Caenorhabditis elegans: one gene and its partner. The protein of the gene in region 1 interacts with the protein of each later gene in a pairwise test. Each region holds a gene or a part of one and is shown in the gene's direction. Other genes may lie near its edges.

Evidence for each region. The genes of interacting proteins can lie anywhere in the genome.
Region 2: the proteins of tbc-9 (region 1) and ccm-3 interact in a two-hybrid assay, tested with the Caenorhabditis elegans proteins (one large-scale study listed by BioGRID).

Annotation. Positions count from the first base shown.
Region 1 is NC_003282.8:13,499,821-13,504,720, reverse strand, and holds the start of tbc-9 (Rab-GAP TBC domain-containing protein), read left to right. Parts: upstream 1-1,864; 5' UTR 1,865-1,875; coding exon 1,876-1,922; intron 1,923-3,499; coding exon 3,500-3,747; intron 3,748-3,806; coding exon 3,807-3,902; intron 3,903-4,900.
Region 2 is NC_003280.10:10,605,187-10,609,015, reverse strand, and holds ccm-3 (Programmed cell death protein 10 homolog), read left to right. Parts: upstream 1-1,740; 5' UTR 1,741-1,750; coding exon 1,751-1,824; intron 1,825-1,880; coding exon 1,881-1,923; intron 1,924-2,005; coding exon 2,006-2,205; intron 2,206-2,260; coding exon 2,261-2,510; intron 2,511-2,810; coding exon 2,811-2,891; 3' UTR 2,892-3,299; downstream 3,300-3,829. Other genes in the region: taf-13 (Transcription initiation factor TFIID subunit 13), read left to right, coding at 3,414-3,545, 3,684-3,829. UniProt on the Caenorhabditis elegans protein: Involved in excretory canal elongation during postembryonic development. Plays a role in promoting Golgi stability, ER integrity and vesicle transport probably by regulating the activation of Rho GTPase cdc-42. Involved in fertility.

The DNA of each region.
Region 1 (4,900 bases):
GGAATTTTTTGTTTATTTTAAAATAAAAATCTTTACCAAAAATGTGGTGGTTTTAATGAGAAAGAACCTGACCGGAAGCTATAAATGGTTATTTATAAATTTAAAAAAATTACGCTAACGGAATTGCACACCTGGAATCACTCCGGCCAGCGGAGCGCACTTGAACACCCCCGCTTTTCTCACTGGTTTTACTCCAGCTTGTATTCTTTAAGGGTGCCTTCATAAGGAACGTTCGATTTTCATCGAATTTACAAAAAAAAACTTCACAAAGAAAGAAACAAAAAAAATTAATAAAAATTTTGGAACTTTTTTTTTCAATTTTGGGACCTGACGTCTAAGCCTTTTATCAGAGCTTTTTGAGGGGCTAAAAGTTGTCAAAAAATAAGTTTTATCCGGAAAAAAAAAGAAAAGTGAAACTTTAACAAAAAAAAAAAGAAACACCCTACATAGAATCGAACCAAATAGTGTTTCTACCAAACGGAGCGCACTACCCACTGCGCCAACTGAACACAGAATTTCACACCATTCTTGGTGAAGATATAGGAGAGCCGCTGCAGCGCGCTGTAGTTTGAGAAAAGCGGGGGGTGTGCAAGTGCGCTCCACTGGCCGGAGTGATTCCAGGTGTGTAATTCGGTAATCCAAAAAAAATTCTAGAAATCGAAAAAAACCTTGATTTCTCACGAATTTTCAGAAGAATAGTGCAAAATGGGCAGGGAAAATAGAAAATAACTATAGAATTAAATATTTAAACTTTAATAAACTTTAAAAAACCCAAAATTTTCTCGGAAAAGATGGGAAAAGCAAAGAAAACAAAATTAAAACAAAAAAATGTTCAAATACGCAATTGTGCGTCACTAATACAGTAACCCGAGACCCGAAGAACTCGGGGGATGTCCAATTGGGGGGATTACCAACTCGGGGGATTGGCCCCGCCCACAGAACCGTGGCTTGCAATACGCCCATTTCTGCAACTGCCGCACGGTTTTAAAATTATTTTTTCTTGTTAATTCTCGCTCTATTGAGAAAAATACAGTTTTAAAACCGTATTTTTCTCAATAGAGCGAGAATTAACAAGAAAAAATAATTTTAAAACCGTGCGGCAGTTGCAGAAATGGGCGTATTGCAAGCCACGGTTCTGTGGGCGGGGCCAATCCCCCGAGTTGGTAATCCCCCCAATTGGACATCCCCCGAGTTCTTCGGGTCTCAGTAACCCTTACGCTGCAACACTTTTACGCAAAAATGCACACTGTTTTCTTTTCACAATTAAATTTATTTTTTTTAAATTTTATTCGGATTAAATCGATTTTAAAAAGTTTAAAGTCGAAAAATCAACGATTCCATATAAAAATTTCAATTTTTTCAAATATTTGTGCTCAATAACGTTACTTTTTCAATATTTGACACTCACAAACGCCTATCATTGCTGTGCGCTGTAAAATATGAATTTATAGCAATAAAAAGGTGAATTTAAGTGCAAAATCCGAGCATTATGCTCTAAAAATGTGCACTTTTATTCCGAAACACTGCTAGCAACGGAGCGCACTTGCTGCTCCCGCTATTTGCATTGTAATTTTGTTTGTTTGTCTTTTTTTTCGCTTTTCCCCTTGCCAACACAATTATTTGTTACTTTTTCAAATTAATCCATGTTAAAATTGTGAAAAACAAAATAAATGACTGGCTTTTTCAGTTCATTTCCATCTAAAAAAGTGACGTTCAAGCGATGTTTACCCTCCTTTTCTCTGCTTCTCTTACCCTCTCCCTTTTCGATGTCTGTAATAGACAGGCAAATATCGATTCATTCGATAAATATATACTGTCCCCACTGACCTTTGAATTCTTGTTCTTTTTTCTCAATTTCTAATTATTTCAGATTCTATGGTGTGGGTAAAGCCTGAGCATTTAATATTGGCACAATCGTTTTGGTAAGAAATTATTTGAACGAGGAGTAGAGTTTTTTTGATTTTTCCTGTTTAAAATTGAATAAAACTCTGCTTTAATTCTGCTAAAATTGAGAAATTCGACAATTTTTCTTTGTTGCAACAGCTTATGGCGCAGTTTTATATTTAATTTAGCGTTATTTTGTTAATTTCGGCAAATTTTAAGCCGATCGGCTCCCAATTTTGGTTTTTAGGGCCTAATGTGGCTGAATCAACGAGCTAACGCAATTTTAACGATTAAAACTTAAAAAATTGCAATATTATTGATAATTTAACAATTTTTCGAATAAAAATTACTAAATTTAACTTGAATCTTCAATTTTTTCTAAATAACATGCAGTGATCGGAAATTAGTTTTTAATGAATTTTAACTCTAAATTGTACATTTTTGTTGTCTTTCCCGTGTTTTAATATTAACGGTCGAAATTCATAAAATAATGGTCAAAAAAGAGCCAAATTTGCTAAAATCTGAAATTTCGTTCACTTATCTTTGTTGCAGGAACTGGAATACAGTTTTTATCGAATTATCACCCTTTTTGCATATTTTTGTCATTTATCTCGCGCAGATTCGATGATTTAAGCACATTTTACGTCTACAAGGCGCTCAAAAAAACAAAAAGACGAAAATTGGCCGAAATCATCGAATCTGCGCGAAATAAACGACTAGAATATGCAATAAAGTGTTATAACTTGATAGAAAGTGTACTCCAGCTGCTGTGACAAGGAAAAGTTGGCGAAATTTCAGATTTTACAGAGTTTGGCTTTTTTAATAATTCTCTTCACAAATTTCGATCATTTCCAGTCAGTTTTAGACTTTTAAAATAACTTTTAAAGGTGGAGTACCGAAATTTGAGACTTTTCTTTTTTAGACCAAAAATGACCCAAAACTACCGAATTTCGTAATGAGACATTTTGAAAATTTCTTTTAAAAAAGTTATGGTGGCTCAAAGGTCTGGATTTTATTAGAAGTTTATTCGTTGATTAAAGTACATTTTCGGGCATTTCTGTGCCCAACTGACCGAAAGTGTACTTAAATCAACGAATAAACGCCTAATAAAAGACCACAATATTTATTAAAAAGTGATAATTGAATAAAAATTTAGTTCCAGACGCTGCGACACCGAGAAGTTGGAAAAAATTGTGATTTTAGCTATATTAGCCTTTTTTCCAGAACTTTGAATCGCCATAACTTTTTTTTGAGAAATTTTCAAAACGTCTTGTGTCGATATTCGGTAGTTTTGGGACATTTTTGGTTTAAAAAAGCAAAATTTCAAGTTTCGGTGCTCCACCTGAAGGTGGTGTCAGGATGTCTCTTTTCGGTTTGATCTCCGAAAAATGCGGGAGAAGAGACACAGAGTTCTCAACTTATTTTGCATGGTTAAGAACGTGCTGACGTCACAGTTTTTTTGTCAAAAAATTCCCGCATTTTTTGTAGATCAAACCGTAATGGGACAGCCTGGTACCACGTGGTGCACCTTTAAGGAAAAAACCCACAAACTCTACTCCCCCCATTTAAATTATTCCGTACAAAAAATAAATTCTTTATCTTTTCAAAATTCCAGGTCATGCGAGAAAGCCAGCAAATACTTCCAACTCCAACGTCGAAAAGGACACGGAACACGTGGCTTTTCGTCTCTTATCGTTGCAACAATCGATTCGGTTTTCGACACGAGACCCCCTCCATACCGAATAATTTACGATTTTGATGATGAAGATGTACACATTTCGATTGTGCTAGCAGTAGCTGTAGAGGAAAAAGAAATTGAAGAACACTGGAATCATGTTCTACAACATTTTGTTCCGGCGATAGGTTAATTGGATACTTGATTGGAGAAAAACAATTATTTATAAGACACTTTTTTATTTCAGAACCCCTTCAATTCGAGAAAGATGTCCGAAGATATGTTACTACGAAAGTAGAAAGTTTAGCTAATAATTCAGAAGAAGTAGTTTCACCTTATTCAGGTAAAAAGGATGCGATATTTTGAGAAAAAGTGACACAAAAAACTGAAAAATTAGCTAAAATATTCAATTTTGTCAATTTGCAGTTATCGGTTATCAGTTTTTAGTAAATTGCTGCTTAATGTGGTATTTTTTCCCGTAATTTTCATGTTAATTTAGGCATATTTAAACTCAACATGCGTTTTTTGCGAAATCTGAGAAATATTTTTAAATGACTCCAAAGTTTCCCCTGATTCCGAATATCAAAGTGAAAAAATTCGAAAAAATTTCCCTTCAGCGTGAAATTGCGATTTTAATTTGGTTCCCCATGAGATTTTTCAAACGGCAAATGTTGCCGCGCAACGACACTCCGCGCTAAACAAAGAGTGCTTGTTTAGATTTACGAGAGTCATTTTTTGCTATTTGACGGTTTTTCACCGGTTTTTCTAGACCCGAAGAACTCGGGGGATGTCCAATTGGGGGGATTACCAACTCGGGGGATTGGCCCCACCCACAGAACCGTGGCTTGCAATACGCCCATTTCTGCAACTGCCGCACGGTTTTAAAATTATTTTTTCTTGTTAATTCTCGCTCTATTGAGAAAAATACAGTTTTAAAACCTGCAATACGCCCATTTCTGCAACTGCCGCACGGTTTTAAAATTATTTTTTCTTGTTAATTCTCGCTCTATTGAGAAAAATACAGTTTTAAAACCGTATTTTTCTCAATAGAGCGAGAATTAACAAGAAAAAATAATTTTAAAACCGTGCGGCAGTTGCAGAAATGGGCGTATTGCTGGCCACGGTTCTGTGGGCGAGGCCAATCCCCCGAGTTGGTAATCCCCCCAATTGGACATCCCCCGAGTTCTTCGGGTCTCGTTTTTTCTCCAGTTTTCGCCGAAATTTGTCTAAAACTGGCCCGAATTGACCGAAATTCATAATTAAACCTCGAAAATTGCCTTAAAAATATTTTATGGCACGTCAAAATTCAAATTTCGCCAATTTTTTTGTTGCACCAGCTGG
Region 2 (3,829 bases), on another chromosome or scaffold:
TTCGAAAATTTGAAAAAATTGAATCATCAAACAACAAGTTTTATTTTGTTTTGAAAATGTTTGATCTATGATCGGCTATGCCTTTGACCATATATTAATACCAAATACAAAAAAAAAAGATGAAACTCGGTCAGAGAACAGAATTATCACAGGAAATGAGATTTCCTGATTGGGAGTCTATACCTTGAATGTACATGTTCGCAATTTTATTACCTATTTTTTGGAATGGGAACTGGTTTTTTCTCGAAACCTTTGACCAAAGGAAACATCTAGAAAAATGAAATCAGCACATTTTTTGAGAGCAATTTAGAAAAGAAAAGACAATAAAATGAAACAAATTTCAATGTTTTTTTCTCGACTCTATTGTTAATATACTCTGAAGCGTAACAAAGGTGTGAATAGTGGATCTCCTATTGATCGGCAGGAATGACACGGAAGATGAGACGGACAGCCGGGAGAAAAAAGATATTACGGAAGATTTTGAGACGCAGATTGATGGGAATTGGACTTGTGACTTCTTGTTTTCCGGAGATTCTTTACTATATCATAATTTTATTGACAGATATCCTTCACTGGTGGGCTGAAAATATAATAGAGTCCCCAGAAATACGGCACCGGGTCTCGTCGCGAAACACCATCATTAAATAGAAAAGTGAGTGTGCCTTTAGAGATTACTGTAATTTCTTTTTATTGATTTACGAAAAAATAATTTTCCACTAATTTTTCGATGAAGAACTTTTTATTTTTCGAAAAGTTTACAAAAAAAACTTTAATACATCCACTGAAACAAAAATTTGAAGTTACAGTACTCTTTAAAGGCACACACCTTTTTGTGTGCGAAAATTTGACGAGACCTGCTACCGTATTCTTTGGGAAAAATCATGAAATTTATCTGGCCAGATCTGGACAATTATAATTAAAAAAATATATTTTCAGGAAAATCTGATTGAATATTGGAAATCGTTGTTTATTCTCAGAGATTATTATTTGCAAAATCTGCATTTATATGTCTAAATAACACTAGCTAGTGCACTAGGCTAAAAATTGAAAGATTCATTATTTCAAAATTTGCAAAATTTTACCTCCACCGAGGTCTGAGTTGAGTAAAAACATTTTGTTCACATTTTCGCGATTGAATTGATTATTTAAAAAATTAAGCACTAATAAAATATATTTTTAACGTCGAATATTAAAATTTTTCCAAGAACTTTGTTCTCCAGAATTGTTCATCTCGAAATCTGCAGCATCTCTGGTGCCAGCAAGTGCGCTCCAATGCGAACATTTCATTTAAATTTTTTTTTTTTCGTTCTTTTTTTAACAGATTTTATCAATTTTTTGCGATTTTCATTATTTTTTCAAGTAAAAAACATATTTAATGTTATTTCTTATATTTCACAATATTAATTCAACTATTAAAAAACAATTGCATCGATTTCTGGGTGGGTTATCATGCGAAACCGATAAAAACCGTTATTATTATTATTATAATGACTCATAAGTTTCTCCAAGGAATTCGAATTCTGCTTTCACATTCCTTTCCGACCGTTCACTTTCTTCCTATATTTACTCTCCTCGTTTTCCTCTGTATTTCTCCAACTTTTCGCCTTATTATCTGCGTCTCTCTCCGCTTTTGATTTCTGTATGTATTTGCGATGCAAATCGATCGTATGCGGGTTTTTCCTTTTTTAACACAGCTTTCTCCTCTTAAAATTCACTCAAAAATCATGATTTTCATTTCAGCAGTTTCACAATGAACGAAGAGGGTGGATATCTTGGAGCGATGACATATCAATGCCTGTACAGTCCTGTGATGGAAAAAATTAAGTGGGTTTCAAGAAATATCAGTTTTTAAACATAATAATTTAAAAAATATATTTTAGACAGCAACATCGTGATGATCCAAGAGCTTCTCTCGCCCTAAACGTAAGCTATTCTATATAAGAATATTTTCTATGAATTTTATACTGTTAAACGAAAAAAAATAAATTAACAAAGAATTATTCAGAAACTGCACACTGCACTGACCACTTGTGAACAAGCTTCTCCGTCGTTTCTCTATGATTTCACAAAAGTTTTGCTGGATGACTCGGAATTGAGCGTTAATCTGCAGGAATCCTATCTGAGAATGCATGACACCTCGCCGACAAATGATTTGATTGTCAGTGGATATGAGCAGAATGCTGATTATAAAGAGCTCACGAAACGGTAATCAAATTAGATAATTTTTTTCAAAATTCCTGGCGTACGAAAAAAATTACAGAGCAATCGAGCTTCGTCGTGTTCTGTCCCGGGTTCCCGAAGAAATGTCGGATCGTCACGCCTTCCTGGAGACCATCAAGCTCATCGCATCATCAATCAAGAAACTTCTTGAGGCAATAAACGCCGTCTACAGAATTGTTCCACTCACTGCGCAGCCGGCCGTTGAGAAACGTAAACGGGAATTTGTGCACTACTCGAAAAGATTCAGTAACACTTTGAAGACGTATTTTAAAGATCAGAATGCAAATCAGGTTCGTGGGAAAAAATGTGCTTTTTTACTTAAATGCGTCGAAATTTGTCCTTGACTCCGAATATCTATGTGAAAAATTCAAAAGCCCCGGTTTTTCTGGGAAAAAATTCGCACTGAAATATAAAATCAGGGAGATTTTTTTTTAATTTTTTCACATCGATATTCGGCAAATTTGGACTTTTTTTTAAAATAAAAACCTGTAAATTTTCCCCAAATCTTGGGAAAATCAAACTAAATTCTTGAATAATATTAAAATCCATTTTTTTAAAACAAATTCTGAGCCTAAATTCAATGTTTGCAGGTATCCGTGTCCGCCAACCAACTGGTTTTCCAAACGACAATGATAGTCCGCACAATCAACGAAAAACTTCGCCGAGGATAAGCTCACCCATATGGCGGCTTATAACTGTGATCTACTAGACGGCTCTTTCCTTTTGCATGTGTTTTACTTTCATTTTTTGTTCACTTAATTTCTTGTTCTCATCCACACACTCATCACTTTATACATCGGATCTGCACACTTTCTTCTTTCTATGATTTTTCCTTTCCCAATTTTCTGTTTATTGACTGAAATTTTAGGAAAATGATTAACGTATTATGCTTTATATGGTTTTTCGGATTTTTTTCACTTCAAAAATATTGTAATAAGTAGCTCAATTATCATTCTTCCTTTCTTTTTCATGTGCCTTTCTTTGATTTTTCCTCGTTTTTTCACCCACTGATGTACTAGATTTTTTTCCATAAGTCGGTTTCTTCTCCAAATAACGTGATAAATTATTCAGAAATTTTTAATATTTTAATTGACTGTATTGCAATTCTTGTTGTCGAAAACTTATTATATATCTAATTAACTTCACTTTAAAAAATTTCAGACCAATTTTAAATTAATTTCAGAATTTAAAAAATGGATGACGAAGAGGATCTGTTCGGCTCGGATGCCGAAGATGACAAGGAGAAGGTGGTAAATCCGGAGGATAAGAAGCACGTGCTGAGACGAGATTTGAGATCAATGGTCTATGGCTTTGGAGATGATAAGGTTGGTAACAGGGCTGTGCAACTTTTTGAATCAAAATTTATTTGCATTTCTATAACAAATTAAAAAGAAATTAAATGAGCGGTTTTTCTAAGATTCCGATTGATAATTTCCTGAATTGTTTATAAATAAATGTTTCAGGAGCCATACGACAAGACCCTGGACACTCTTGAGGCCATTGTCCTAAACTACATCAAAGAGTTATGCCAACTGGCGATGAAAGTTGGAAAACCGGATAAAATGGCACTTGAGGACATTCACTATCTGATTCGTCGTGATCCGAAGAA